2 linked regions of the Saccharomyces cerevisiae S288C genome follow. The gene in region 1 interacts genetically with each later gene. Each region holds a gene or a part of one and is shown in the gene's direction. Other genes may lie near its edges.

Region 1 (8,242 bases):
CATATTCCCCCAAATCGTCACGCTGCATTTTAGGTCTCATATAAACGGCACCGACCAATGGTGGCGCGTCCGGGGATCCCATCGTTGGTTCAGGAACGCGATCATGCGGCGTTGCATTAGCTGGTAGTAGATGTCTTATGGGGGAAGGATATTTGAAGAACTTTCTACCATTTACCGGAATGGTAGCTTCGTCCAAATCACGAATTTCCTCTGGTAAGCAAGCCTTCCAGGTTCTAATCTTGTTAAAAATTTTATCGGATTCATTATAACGGAATTCGCAAACGAACAAGGGACCCTCCAATTTCATATCGGGATTACCACGTTGATATCTAGTAAAGTGAATCACATAGCATTTCCCAACTAAGTTTGACACTAAATGATCACGGTACTGACCTGTTTTCATAACTTCGTTTTTGTAAAACAATCTATCCACTCTATGCACAGTTTGTTCGGGTCTGTAATACCAACAAGCGTTTAACCATTGTTTCCCATCTGGTGTCTTCCATAGCCTGAATATTTGGCCCACTATAGGTTTTTGAGGATCATTTTGATTTCGAAGAAGTGCCCAATCTCCCACGTGGTATGATATATTATTTACAATGACTTCATCTAGAGGGTATCTTAGCTCGCCTTCTGGAATGAAACTTCTATCAGGTTTGGATAGTTCGAATCTTGCCAGACTAGTAAAGGTCTTTTCTAAGATATTTGAAATTTTTATGCTTTCAGGATCACCTCTGTGCGAAATTCTAAAGTTGGTTAACATAAGATTAAAATCATTCTGGAACTCCTGGAACGTTTTATAACGACGAGTCTTTACCTTTTTATTTATGTCTTGAAGACTAATTGGATTAGCAATCATGATGTAGTAATTTGCATCTCTGTGTCTATCGGGCAATCTTTCAAAAAGATCAGTTAGACCAATTCCACTATCTAGCACCTCTTTTTTTAGTACTTTCATAACATTTTTCATTCTTTGAATATACGGTAAGTCGATGATTGGGGGTCTCCCACGCTTTACCTGAGTTCTGGATACCTGTCTATGCCTTGGGCCTAACGGCTGAGGGGTGCCTGAGTGAGATGGAGTAGTGGACCTGTTGTCTCTTAATGGTTTCCGAGTATATGGATTAATATTTATTAGTGGCTTTCTTATCAAATCAGGAAAATCAGCATCCTTAGGGTTATCGATATCCATATCCGTCGCCTCATAGTCCTCATCATTATTTGTATCGGTTCCTGGTTCTGATTCTCTTTTGACGGAAGTACGAGTCTTTCTTAATCTTCTGGCTGCTTCTGTTGAATTCATTGAAGAGCTCGACTCGGCTCTGGCTGCATTAGCTCTCGCTACTTCCTCAGCTTTTTCTCTTAATTTCTGTTGAAACTCTTCATAACCTGGTTCATCGGGTAGAGGACCCAAATCAGGATACACTAATTGAGGATATTTTTCTTTTAAATTTGGATAGATTGTGTCCTTTAAATATTTCTCAAGGACTAAGGCGTATTTATAAATTCCTGAATCTCTTGTATTGTAAGTCTTGGCATTCCATGGAATCTGGACAACATCGTTCATAAACTGTTGAGCATCTGTATAATGTGGAATACGCTTTTTTAAAGTATTGAAAGATACAGGGTTCTTGATCACTGCGTAGTAGTCAGGATAATCCTTTTTAGGTGGAAGGACATTGAATATTGGTGAAATCTCTAACCCAGAATCTTCCTTTAAAGTGAAAAGAGATTCATATTCTTTCCTCAGGTCCTTGTATAATGCGCTTGAGTTTTGAGTGGACGAGTTTGAATTGTCATCAGGCATCATGCACTGTCAATGTAGAATATTCTCCGCTTCGTCTGGTTCTGCGCGACGTGCTGTATATTTGATCACGTATTGAACTGTTACCAATACTTTTTTCAGCTGTGTTGTTTTCTCTATTTTCTCACTTTAACATGCGAATTTTCGCACGACTCTCGGCCGGGTGAGAAAAGTCAGTGACAGTAATAAACCAAGTGCAAGAGCACCTACAAATGTGCTTATTACAGTGTATTATTATGTATATATGTGCATACGTGTGTGTATGCACAATTTTTGAACATACTGTCTTTTGAACGTTTGAAAACTCGTAGGAATATATAAAAAAACTGCAAATTACTACACACTTTATTTTTGGAGAGAGAGAGGAGCCGAGTTCAGGCAGCTACAAATTCTTGTAGAGATAAATACGTGAACGAGAAACACTAGATAAATTGTCCTTCCCCATAAACGCCAATAACGGCTTGTACAAAGCCAACAATAGCAATAGCAGTTGCTGCAATTAGATTTTTAGTATGGATTGGGGGACCGGTGTGCAATGCCTCTGCCGGCTTTGATACTGTGGTTGCTGCAGGCTTCCCGTCTCGAGGTGTATTTTCTGAAGCATGGTTGTCTTCACCTAAATCAATAATAGAATCGCTCAGTTCGGAAGCAGCGAGTTTGCTGTCTTCGGGAAATAAAGAAGATTCCTTAGAGACTTTACTGTACTTTCTAGACTGATAGTTGGAGGCACATCCTAGAACAAATGAAGATAATGGAGCTACAAGCATACCATAGAGTAAGTAGGGGTGTCTCAATGAGGGAGGAGCGCCGAAAAAGCTCACACAAAAGAAAGTTGACGCAAACGCTCCCAAGGCGGTGGCCGCATTTTTCAAAGTGGTTAAAGTGGGAGTAAGGGATCCTGTTAAAACCTCTAGTGGAGTAGTAGATGTAATCAATGAAGCGGAAGCCAAAAGACCAGAGTAGAGGCCTATAGAAGAAACTGCGATACCTTTTGTGATGGCTAAACAAACAGACATCTTTTTATATGTTTTTACTTCTGTATATCGTGAAGTAGTAAGTGATAAGCGAATTTGGCTAAGAACGTTGTAAGTGAACAAGGGACCTCTTTTGCCTTTCAAAAAAGGATTAAATGGAGTTAATCATTGAGATTTAGTTTTCGTTAGATTCTGTATCCCTAAATAACTCCCTTACCCGACGGGAAGGCACAAAAGACTTGAATAATAGCAAACGGCCAGTAGCCAAGACCAAATAATACTAGAGTTAACTGATGGTCTTAAACAGGCATTACGTGGTGAACTCCAAGACCAATATACAAAATATCGATAAGTTATTCTTGCCCACCAATTTAAGGAGCCTACATCAGGACAGTAGTACCATTCCTCAGAGAAGAGGTATACATAACAAGAAAATCGCGTGAACACCTTATATAACTTAGCCCGTTATTGAGCTAAAAAACCTTGCAAAATTTCCTATGAATAAGAATACTTCAGACGTGATAAAAATTTACTTTCTAACTCTTCTCACGCTGCCCCTATCTGTTCTTCCGCTCTACCGTGAGAAATAAAGCATCGAGTACGGCAGTTCGCTGTCACTGAACTAAAACAATAAGGCTAGTTCGAATGATGAACTTGCTTGCTGTCAAACTTCTGAGTTGCCGCTGATGTGACACTGTGACAATAAATTCAAACCGGTTATAGCGGTCTCCTCCGGTACCGGTTCTGCCACCTCCAATAGAGCTCAGTAGGAGTCAGAACCTCTGCGGTGGCTGTCAGTGACTCATCCGCGTTTCGTAAGTTGTGCGCGTGCACATTTCGCCCGTTCCCGCTCATCTTGCAGCAGGCGAAATTTTCATCACGCTGTAGGACGCAAAAAAAAAATAATTAATCGTACAAGAATCTTGGAAAAAAAATTGAAAAATTTTGTATAAAAGGGATGACCTAACTTGACTCAATGGCTTTTACACCCAGTATTTTCCCTTTCCTTGTTTGTTACAATTATAGAAGCAAGACAAAAACATATAGACAACCTATTCCTAGGAGTTATATTTTTTTACCCTACCAGCAATATAAGTAAAAAATAAAACATGTTGAGAACTCAAGCCGCCAGATTGATCTGCAACTCCCGTGTCATCACTGCTAAGAGAACCTTTGCTTTGGCCACCCGTGCTGCTGCTTACAGCAGACCAGCTGCCCGTTTCGTTAAGCCAATGATCACTACCCGTGGTTTGAAGCAAATCAACTTCGGTGGTACTGTTGAAACCGTCTACGAAAGAGCTGACTGGCCAAGAGAAAAGTTGTTGGACTACTTCAAGAACGACACTTTTGCTTTGATCGGTTACGGTTCCCAAGGTTACGGTCAAGGTTTGAACTTGAGAGACAACGGTTTGAACGTTATCATTGGTGTCCGTAAAGATGGTGCTTCTTGGAAGGCTGCCATCGAAGACGGTTGGGTTCCAGGCAAGAACTTGTTCACTGTTGAAGATGCTATCAAGAGAGGTAGTTACGTTATGAACTTGTTGTCCGATGCCGCTCAATCAGAAACCTGGCCTGCTATCAAGCCATTGTTGACCAAGGGTAAGACTTTGTACTTCTCCCACGGTTTCTCCCCAGTCTTCAAGGACTTGACTCACGTTGAACCACCAAAGGACTTAGATGTTATCTTGGTTGCTCCAAAGGGTTCCGGTAGAACTGTCAGATCTTTGTTCAAGGAAGGTCGTGGTATTAACTCTTCTTACGCCGTCTGGAACGATGTCACCGGTAAGGCTCACGAAAAGGCCCAAGCTTTGGCCGTTGCCATTGGTTCCGGTTACGTTTACCAAACCACTTTCGAAAGAGAAGTCAACTCTGACTTGTACGGTGAAAGAGGTTGTTTAATGGGTGGTATCCACGGTATGTTCTTGGCTCAATACGACGTCTTGAGAGAAAACGGTCACTCCCCATCTGAAGCTTTCAACGAAACCGTCGAAGAAGCTACCCAATCTCTATACCCATTGATCGGTAAGTACGGTATGGATTACATGTACGATGCTTGTTCCACCACCGCCAGAAGAGGTGCTTTGGACTGGTACCCAATCTTCAAGAATGCTTTGAAGCCTGTTTTCCAAGACTTGTACGAATCTACCAAGAACGGTACCGAAACCAAGAGATCTTTGGAATTCAACTCTCAACCTGACTACAGAGAAAAGCTAGAAAAGGAATTAGACACCATCAGAAACATGGAAATCTGGAAGGTTGGTAAGGAAGTCAGAAAGTTGAGACCAGAAAACCAATAAAGAGGAAAATAATATCAAGTGCTGGAAACTTTTTCTCTTGGAATTTTTGCAACATCAAGTCATAGTCAATTGAATTGACCCAATTTCACATTTAAGATTTTTTTTTTTTCATCCGACATACATCTGTACACTAGGAAGCCCTGTTTTTCTGAAGCAGCTTCAAATATATATATTTTTTACATATTTATTATGATTCAATGAACAATCTAATTAAATCGAAAACAAGAACCGAAACGCGAATAAATAATTTATTTAGATGGTGACAAGTGTATAAGTCCTCATCGGGACAGCTACGATTTCTCTTTCGGTTTTGGCTGAGCTACTGGTTGCTGTGACGCAGCGGCATTAGCGCGGCGTTATGAGCTACCCTCGTGGCCTGAAAGATGGCGGGAATAAAGCGGAACTAAAAATTACTGACTGAGCCATATTGAGGTCAATTTGTCAACTCGTCAAGTCACGTTTGGTGGACGGCCCCTTTCCAACGAATCGTATATACTAACATGCGCGCGCTTCCTATATACACATATACATATATATATATATATATATGTGTGCGTGTATGTGTACACCTGTATTTAATTTCCTTACTCGCGGGTTTTTCTTTTTTCTCAATTCTTGGCTTCCTCTTTCTCGAGTATATAATTTTTCAGGTAAAATTTAGTACGATAGTAAAATACTTCTCGAACTCGTCACATATACGTGTACATAATGTCTGAACCAGCTCAAAAGAAACAAAAGGTTGCTAACAACTCTCTAGAACAATTGAAAGCCTCCGGCACTGTCGTTGTTGCCGACACTGGTGATTTCGGCTCTATTGCCAAGTTTCAACCTCAAGACTCCACAACTAACCCATCATTGATCTTGGCTGCTGCCAAGCAACCAACTTACGCCAAGTTGATCGATGTTGCCGTGGAATACGGTAAGAAGCATGGTAAGACCACCGAAGAACAAGTCGAAAATGCTGTGGACAGATTGTTAGTCGAATTCGGTAAGGAGATCTTAAAGATTGTTCCAGGCAGAGTCTCCACCGAAGTTGATGCTAGATTGTCTTTTGACACTCAAGCTACCATTGAAAAGGCTAGACATATCATTAAATTGTTTGAACAAGAAGGTGTCTCCAAGGAAAGAGTCCTTATTAAAATTGCTTCCACTTGGGAAGGTATTCAAGCTGCCAAAGAATTGGAAGAAAAGGACGGTATCCACTGTAATTTGACTCTATTATTCTCCTTCGTTCAAGCAGTTGCCTGTGCCGAGGCCCAAGTTACTTTGATTTCCCCATTTGTTGGTAGAATTCTAGACTGGTACAAATCCAGCACTGGTAAAGATTACAAGGGTGAAGCCGACCCAGGTGTTATTTCCGTCAAGAAAATCTACAACTACTACAAGAAGTACGGTTACAAGACTATTGTTATGGGTGCTTCTTTCAGAAGCACTGACGAAATCAAAAACTTGGCTGGTGTTGACTATCTAACAATTTCTCCAGCTTTATTGGACAAGTTGATGAACAGTACTGAACCTTTCCCAAGAGTTTTGGACCCTGTCTCCGCTAAGAAGGAAGCCGGCGACAAGATTTCTTACATCAGCGACGAATCTAAATTCAGATTCGACTTGAATGAAGACGCTATGGCCACTGAAAAATTGTCCGAAGGTATCAGAAAATTCTCTGCCGATATTGTTACTCTATTCGACTTGATTGAAAAGAAAGTTACCGCTTAAGGAAGTATCTCGGAAATATTAATTTAGGCCATGTCCTTATGCACGTTTCTTTTGATACTTACGGGTACATGTACACAAGTATATCTATATATATAAATTAATGAAAATCCCCTATTTATATATATGACTTTAACGAGACAGAACAGTTTTTTATTTTTTATCCTATTTGATGAATGATACAGTTTCTTATTCACGTGTTATACCCACACCAAATCCAATAGCAATACCGGCCATCACAATCACTGTTTCGGCAGCCCCTAAGATCAGACAAAACATCCGGAACCACCTTAAATCAACGTCCCATATGAATCCTTGCAGCAAAGCCGCTCGGTGTTCTTTATTCATAAGCAACCTCATTAATCTATAGTCTGAAACTAATTTCCTTCTTGAGCTGCAGCCAATAATAAAAAATAATGGCGGCACTATACTACAACATAGGAGGATCACAATGATGTTTTCGATGCTGTAAACGTCCCTGAATCCATTTTGACCTGAATCAAACGAATGAATGGAAGCGGTATCGATATGTTGAATTGGCATTCTCGCCTCCAGGTCTATATTTTCAGCATCGTGCCTGTCTTCTTTCCTATTATCAGTTTTTTCTTGTTGCTTTCGTCGTATGCTTCGAGCTGGCTTTTCTATAATGGAGTTCTGTCCCGTGTCTGACTCCGAGCTTTGAGATTTAATTGGAGCTAGCACGAGGGGTTGTCCATGTTCTGGCAACGTTTTATTTTTCTTCTTGTTCATCTTGGTCAATGGAGAGGGCGTCTTGTGTCCTTCATAGCGTGAAAATGGATCAGACTTAGTTGAATTTCCAGATTCTAAGCGTAAAGGTGTCTTCGTCCATTTGCTTGGTCCGGACACACTTCTTAATACGGGAATTGAAGGTAGTCCAATTGGTGGACCTTCTTCTTCTAGGGATGTGGAGGGCTTGCGCGTAGATTTTGAACTGAATTTTTCTTCATTATTATGCCCTATATGGTCTTTAGGAGAACTTTCGTTACTACTGTCACTATTGTGTGAAGGAATCAATATGTTACCAATTAACGATGGACTCTGAGGAATTTTAATCTTCCTTGCCGACGTACCTGGCGCACCTGGCGAATGCGAATCATCACTTGTCGACGACTTTATTGATCCAGCCTTCTCTGGAATTTTTAGTTTGTGCGGTATAAATTTTGATTCATTCACAGGTTCGTATTGATCTATGACTTCATCCTCGGTCTCGCCTTCACCTTTACTGCCAGTTGAGCTTATAAAATTAACATTAGAAGTTTTATTCTTCGTTAGCCTCACTGCCTCTTCAACATCTGGTTCTAAGGTGTCATCGTAATGGTATGAGAAAAATGAGTGTTCCGTTGTTTCATTAGGTTCAATTGAGGTAGGACGTGGAGGTGTTCCATTCTTTGACTCGTCGTTCCCGCGATTCGCCAAAGATGAGTATAATGAAG
Region 2 (7,152 bases), on another chromosome or scaffold:
ATAAACTGGTTCATTGTTGTTCCTATTCGTTTGGTTAAGACTCCACTTGTTTCTTGTCTATCATTCTTCTCATCCTTGCGTAATTATAATCAAAGTCTATAGTCAAACATACGGTCCTCTAGCCATCTTTGCGTATTGATTCTTTGGTTTGTTTTGGGCAGAAAAATCGCTATATAAGAAAGTATTTCAACACTAGATTAAATTATAGTATAATTTTTAATATACTAGTATTGCCGACAATCTCTGAAATTTCAATACTACCACACAGAACAGGACTTGCCAGGGCCAGTCCGAGCCAGCCTAACTCCAAGACCACGTACTAAGTGAATTGCTACTCCCCCTTACCACGACTACAAAGAGCTACACGGCCTCCCGGCCTAGGCCGCTGCTACTTTCAACTGATGTCACCGAAAAAAATAACGGAAAACGACAGTTCAAGAAAAAAAGAACGCAGGAAGAAAAAGGAAGCAAAATTACAGAATGTACGGCTGTTTAAAAATAAATAGTGGATGCATGGGTGCTTCCACGCGTCTCTGGGAAAAAAAACCAGGATATTTTAATGTTTGTTTATTTGTTTATTTCCTGCTGAACTGAATATTGAAAACATCGAAAAAATGCAGTACCCAGCTCTCCATTAGGACTTTTTACGTAATGACGAAAATGGACAAGCTGCGCAGGAAAGGACTACGAAAAGTATGCTGCCATAATGACAAGATAAGGCGCAACACACGTAATCATGACTAATGGTTGCACAGACGGTAGGCCAGGAGAAGGATTAGATCTCGTGCCGAACGACAGCAAGCTAGCTAGACTATGTTATCTGAGTGTAAACGAAAGCGCAGCAGTCTCTGCAAGAGCACGTGCGACGTGTCTGGTGTGCAAAAACCCTCTAGAGAAACATTGCTAAGGTTTACCGATGCAGGAAATCTTTAGTTCTAAAAGATGAAAGTCGGAAAAGCCAAAAAGAAACCGGAAATCTTCTCTGCGCATTGTTCTGTGGCCACGGCCTTCCTGGACCCGTCCTTCTTTTACCCGAACTTTGTCGCCCAAAAGGCATCTCATTATAATGACAAAACTGGATCTGCAAATATTTGGACATATATCTCCAGAACGGGCTCACTTCTCCTCTTCACCCAGGTGGTATATAGGAAGAGTAAGTGGACGCATCAGTCCGCGACATTTGCGGACTGTATATATTGCCAGTCAGGGCAGTCGCCAAGTGTGTCTCTTTCGTGTAGCGACGCACGTCAGACATGGATGCAACATCGAGGATGGAGCAGCCTGATGTCTTTGTAAGCAAACTCTACCACCTGCTGCAGGGGAACGCTTACTCGAACATAATACAATGGTCGACTGATGGCAGCAAGCTCGTCATTTGGAATCCGGACCAGTTCACCAAAGTCATCCTAGAGCGATTTTTTGGTATTCACACCTTTGCAGCATTCGTTAAGCAATTGAGCAAATATAACTTCCAGAAGGCGGGCCGCCCGGACTGCGTGGAGTTTTCCAACATTCATTTTCAAAAAGATAACATTAATAGCCTCTCACTGGTTAAAGCTCATCAGTCTGCCGCCACTCCCAATGTCGCCGCCGTCAATAATATGAATAAGCAGTGTACTTTTCACTGGGACCCTTTCAAAGTGAACTCCATTCTAAGCAAGGCCATCGGCAAGCCTTCCTTCGAGAAATTAGTGAAAAATGTTGACAGGCTTCAGGGCAATCTTGATGAGCTTAAGTCGACAAACGCAGATAGTCTGCGTATTATAAGGGAAATTAACGCCAGCTTACAGACAATCTCCTACCACCAGTTTCACGCCTACCAAACCGCTAACTTCCTTCAAGAAAATTTTGAAGCCATCAAAAAGGTTGTATGCCCGGACTCTTGTCTACAACACCAGCAACGCCAACCAAAGCGCCCCAAACGCTACTCGTTGCTGTTACTAATACCAAACGCATCCGAATTGTCAGAAACACCTTTGATGCGCTTCGCCGGCGTGTTCGAATTTATGAACTGCTCTTTGGATACGGCCACTCAGTGGCACCCGCAGTTGCATCCCGAGGCATACGACCTTCTTTTCGTCACCGTGTCGCCCAACATGCAACAAGAACATCTCATCTACTTCAAGAGACTGAGAAACCTACTCCCAAGCTTTCCTGTAATAGCCATTATTAACAGACCCGTCTCCCCTCAAGATACCAGCATTGCTCCCTCCAACTACTCTCGCTATTATTTCCACCATTTTTTGCAGTTGGGGTTCAGTGACATCCTAGTTAGCCCCTTCACCCCAACACAACTTATAACGCTCCTTTCCAAACATCTTCGAACGTGAAAACCTGCCTCTGAGGGTCATTCACGACCTAGCATACCACTATATACGTGTACGATTTTTTTTTTCTGTGACCGCACTACACCAAAGTTTAATGTTCCATTGGCCCCGGAACCATTCTTGCAAACGGCGTTCTTTTTCCGCTTTCGGGTGACACTTAATTTAGCTTCTTTTCCCTCTCTGACACCTCTTGTTATCTAATCTGTAGATCCGACTCTTTTTCTTTTTGGTGTCGTTCTTCTATGTCCGTTTTTCTGTCAACAAAAACGGAAATAATAGGTAGAAATTAAGAGCCGTACGTGAGTGAGAGGAGATCCGAAATGAGCTGACAGTATAACTAATATAAGCTTACAAGATATTCGACTATTTCCTGGGAAAAAATTCATTCCTTTGAGAAATCCTTAATAAAAACAGACTAACTACTAAAATTTTAGAAATTTAAGGGAAAGCATCTCCACGAGTTTTAAGAACGATATGACCTTGGCACCCCTAGACGCCTCCAAAGTTAAGATAACTACCACACAACATGCATCTAAGCCAAAACCGAACAGTGAGTTAGTGTTTGGCAAGAGCTTCACGGACCACATGTTAACTGCGGAATGGACAGCTGAAAAAGGGTGGGGTACCCCAGAGATTAAACCTTATCAAAATCTGTCTTTAGACCCTTCCGCGGTGGTTTTCCATTATGCTTTTGAGCTATTCGAAGGGATGAAGGCTTACAGAACGGTGGACAACAAAATTACAATGTTTCGTCCAGATATGAATATGAAGCGCATGAATAAGTCTGCTCAGAGAATCTGTTTGCCAACGTTCGACCCAGAAGAGTTGATTACCCTAATTGGGAAACTGATCCAGCAAGATAAGTGCTTAGTTCCTGAAGGAAAAGGTTACTCTTTATATATCAGGCCTACATTAATCGGCACTACGGCCGGTTTAGGGGTTTCCACGCCTGATAGAGCCTTGCTATATGTCATTTGCTGCCCTGTGGGTCCTTATTACAAAACTGGATTTAAGGCGGTCAGACTGGAAGCCACTGATTATGCCACAAGAGCTTGGCCAGGAGGCTGTGGTGACAAGAAACTAGGTGCAAACTACGCCCCCTGCGTCCTGCCACAATTGCAAGCTGCTTCAAGGGGTTACCAACAAAATTTATGGCTATTTGGTCCAAATAACAACATTACTGAAGTCGGCACCATGAATGCTTTTTTCGTGTTTAAAGATAGTAAAACGGGCAAGAAGGAACTAGTTACTGCTCCACTAGACGGTACCATTTTGGAAGGTGTTACTAGGGATTCCATTTTAAATCTTGCTAAAGAAAGACTCGAACCAAGTGAATGGACCATTAGTGAACGCTACTTCACTATAGGCGAAGTTACTGAGAGATCCAAGAACGGTGAACTACTTGAAGCCTTTGGTTCTGGTACTGCTGCGATTGTTTCTCCCATTAAGGAAATCGGCTGGAAAGGCGAACAAATTAATATTCCGTTGTTGCCCGGCGAACAAACCGGTCCATTGGCCAAAGAAGTTGCACAATGGATTAATGGAATCCAATATGGCGAGACTGAGCATGGCAATTGGTCAAGGGTTGTTACTGATTTGAACTGAAGTATCGCTATTGCTACGTAAAGTAATTAAAAGTTAAAAAGAATAAAACTAGAGCGTTTTTTCTACTGAGTTAAGGGGTCATGTCAGAATATAACATACCCTTTGACATTGTATATATGAATTCCTGGATTTTGCAGTGATCTGATAAAAAATGTATGTCGAAACCTGCAATTATCCTTTCGTTTTTTTTCTTGTCATCTAGTGCTGGCCTATCGGTATCAAGGACATCTTTTGCGCGGATAGAAAAGGGCCCATACATACCTTAGAAGCAACTCAAGACAATTCATGTACTTTTTAAACCAACTAATATTTCAAGACGTTTCCGTAATGTCGGTGGATAAAAGAGAAGATATGAGCAGATCTTTCCAAAAATGTTTAAACTTGAGATACCCTATCATCCAGGCCCCTATGGCGGGGGTCACGACTATTGAAATGGCCGCTAAGGCTTGTATTGCGGGCGCCATAGCTTCACTACCCCTATCCCACTTAGACTTCAGAAAGGTCAATGATATTGAAAAGCTTAAACTGATGGTTTCACAATTCAGAGATCAAGTAGCCGATGAATCTTTAGAGGGCAATCTCAACCTAAACTTTTTTTGCCATGATATCGTTGATAAACCGACCGATCTTCAAACAGCTAACTGGGCGAAGCTATACAGAAAGTCTATGAATGTGCCGATTGATATGAATGAGATTAAATTCGATAATGGTAATGTATCTTTTAAGGCATTTGAAAAAGAAAATGCTCTTCAAGATTTTTTCCAGTACCTATCAGATGGCTTTAGGCCTAAAATCATTAGTTTCCATTTTGGCCATCCGTCGAAATCTACAATAGAATATTTACAAAAAATTGGAATTCTAATTTTTGTGACTGCCACCTCTGTAAGAGAAGTTCGATTGTTAGCACGTCTCGGCATTAATGGCATAGTGTGTCAAGGCTATGAAGCGGGAGGACATAGAGGAAATTTCTTAGTAAATGACCCCAAAGATGATGAAAACTTATCAACTGTACAATTGGTGAAAAGAACAGTTGATGAACTTGCTGAAATGAAAAATAAAGGTCTTATACATGCTACTCCCTTTGTCATTGCAGCAGGTGGTATAATGGATTCCAAAGATATATCATACATGTTATCACAGCAAGCAGACGCTGTTCAAGTGGGGACTGCTTTTCTTGGTTGCAGTGAATCCAATGCATCAAAAAACTTTTCAAGCCCCTTCACTCGAGAAACAACAACTAAAATGGTTAATATAATATCAGGAAAGCCTGCAAGGACCATCTCTACTCCTTTTATCGAAAAAGTCATTGCTAATTTTCAAGGTGAGGAGCTTCCTCCATATGGCTACATGTATAGTGCTTTCAAGCAAGTAAGAAAAAAGTATCCAGAATTGGCTAACTTTATTTTAGCTGGACAAGGATTTCAGAATGTCCAATCAGGAATCACAACAGACAAGAAAATTGAAACTATGGGCGCAAGATTGAAAATTGACGGAAAATAATATAAATACATATAAAAGACCTGATACTTATTGACACAAATTTTCTGGATGACCTTTTTCTATATGATATATATACGTCGCTATTGGATCGTAGGTTACTTGGCCATTATTTGAGCGTAACCGTTCACAGGATGTGGGCTTTAAGGAATACAAAATCCAAATATGGAAAAAATTTGATATCAATTTAGGGCTTTAATATCTAAAGGTATTTATTTTTTTCACAGTTTTTTTTCTGTTAAGCTGTCTGCAATAAGGAATGCTCCTGACATGAAATTCGAAAAGGACCGGAAATAGTTGGAGCACAAGACTGCAAACTAAAAAACAAATTTCTTTGGAATTTCCTTACGCTTATAGTATATATCTTATAAATATTAAAATTAAGAGAATTCAATTATTTTACATCATTTATACAACTGTACAGGGCCGCACATGATCACTATAACAATAGAGCGGCGGCACCAGCAATAGCAGCGGCACCGAAAACACCGTTATTGAACTTGTTAGCACCGTTAGTGGTAACGTCAATAACACGAGATGCTGACGATGTGACAGAAGTAGCTGTAGATTGAGCTTTGGAGGAGACTGGCTTAGTCACAGTTGAACAGACGTTATTTGAACAACTAGTTATGGTAGTTTCAACAGTGGAAGCTTGAGTCTTTGTGACGGTGCTGTCAGTACCATTTTGGACCACTGGAGTGACTGAGATAGAAGATGTAGAAGAAACTGGAGCTGTGGTATTGGCAAAACTAGCAGAGCTTGCAACAGAGCTTGCAACAGAGCTTGCAACAGAACTTTCAGCAGAACTTGCAATGGTGCTTGCAGCAGAGCTAGATTCAGATGAAACAGTAGCTTGGGTGGAAGCAGCGTTTGAGCTGGTCTCTGCTGAACTTTCAGAGGAGCTAGAAGACTCAGTGGCGGCACTAGAAGCTTCTGAAGTGGAGGTGGAAGAAGCCTCTGTGGTAGAAGCTGGTACTGCAGTAGCAATACCTTCATTCGCAAGTGCTTCGGAAATAGCACCCATCAATCTAGTAGAGTACCATGGCACACCGGTGATCATTCTGGTCACTTCATCACCTGAAATACCAGTCAACATGGTGGTGAAATCGCCACCGGCAAAAACAGCCTTGGCAATTTCAGGTGGGTATGTTTCAGTCTTATGCAAAGCCTGGAAAGCGTAATATTCAGATAAATGGGCGCCAATATCAGAAACGTAAACAGCCAATTCAATCAAATTGACCCTTTCATCATAAGGGGATAGAGTGGTGGTCACGGATGCGGCGGTTGCACTTGCCACTAATGCTGCGGCGACAGCTAATATACTAATTCTAGACATTACTTGGGGTATATATTTAGTATGCTACACTTTTATCTGAAAAAGAAGAAATAGTACCGTGTCGACATAAAAATAGTATCATTTAGTCGTGCTATTTTATACGCAGTATTTTCAATCATTTCTATTCAATGAGTACCCAGGGACCCTTTTGCATTTCTAGCATTCTCTGTTCCTGAACGATGTTTTGTTAGAGGCCTCGTATAGATCTTGGCATTTTCAAAGGCACGCGTTGTATTGTTTTATTGCCTATCAAAGGAACGCGCAGGAAACATGAAACTTTTCAGAGGAGCGTCTACGGAGGATACATTCATCAATTTTTCCTCATAAATTAAACGATGTGTACAAAAAGGACGAATTGACCCCGTCGTTCGGCGAAACCTTATGTAT

The links.
Region 2: mutations in ILV5 (region 1) and BAT2 are lethal when combined (synthetic lethality), as found in Saccharomyces cerevisiae (2 studies listed by BioGRID, with this or other methods).

Annotation. Positions count from the first base shown.
Region 1 is NC_001144.5:834,899-843,140, reverse strand, and holds ILV5 (ketol-acid reductoisomerase), read left to right. Parts: upstream 1-3,887; coding exon 3,888-5,075; downstream 5,076-8,242. Other genes in the region: RSC2 (Rsc2p), read right to left, coding at 1-1,810; ATG33 (Atg33p), read right to left, coding at 2,227-2,820; sedoheptulose-7-phosphate:D-glyceraldehyde-3-phosphate transaldolase TAL1, read left to right, coding at 5,784-6,791; BUD8 (Bud8p), read right to left, coding at 6,978-8,242. UniProt on the Saccharomyces cerevisiae protein: Involved in the biosynthesis of branched-chain amino acids (BCAA). Catalyzes the second common step in the parallel biosynthesis of isoleucine and valine.
Region 2 is NC_001142.9:702,943-710,094, forward strand, and holds BAT2 (branched-chain-amino-acid transaminase BAT2), read left to right. Parts: upstream 1-2,801; coding exon 2,802-3,932; downstream 3,933-7,152. Other genes in the region: 40S ribosomal protein eS4 RPS4A, read right to left, coding at 113-126; YJR146W (uncharacterized protein), read left to right, coding at 943-1,296; HMS2 (Hms2p), read left to right, coding at 1,254-2,330; YJR149W (putative nitronate monooxygenase), read left to right, coding at 4,218-5,432; DAN1 (Dan1p), read right to left, coding at 5,869-6,765. UniProt on the Saccharomyces cerevisiae protein: Cytoplasmic isozyme of branched-chain-amino-acid aminotransferase, which catalyzes the first reaction in the catabolism of the essential branched chain amino acids (BCAAs) leucine, isoleucine, and valine.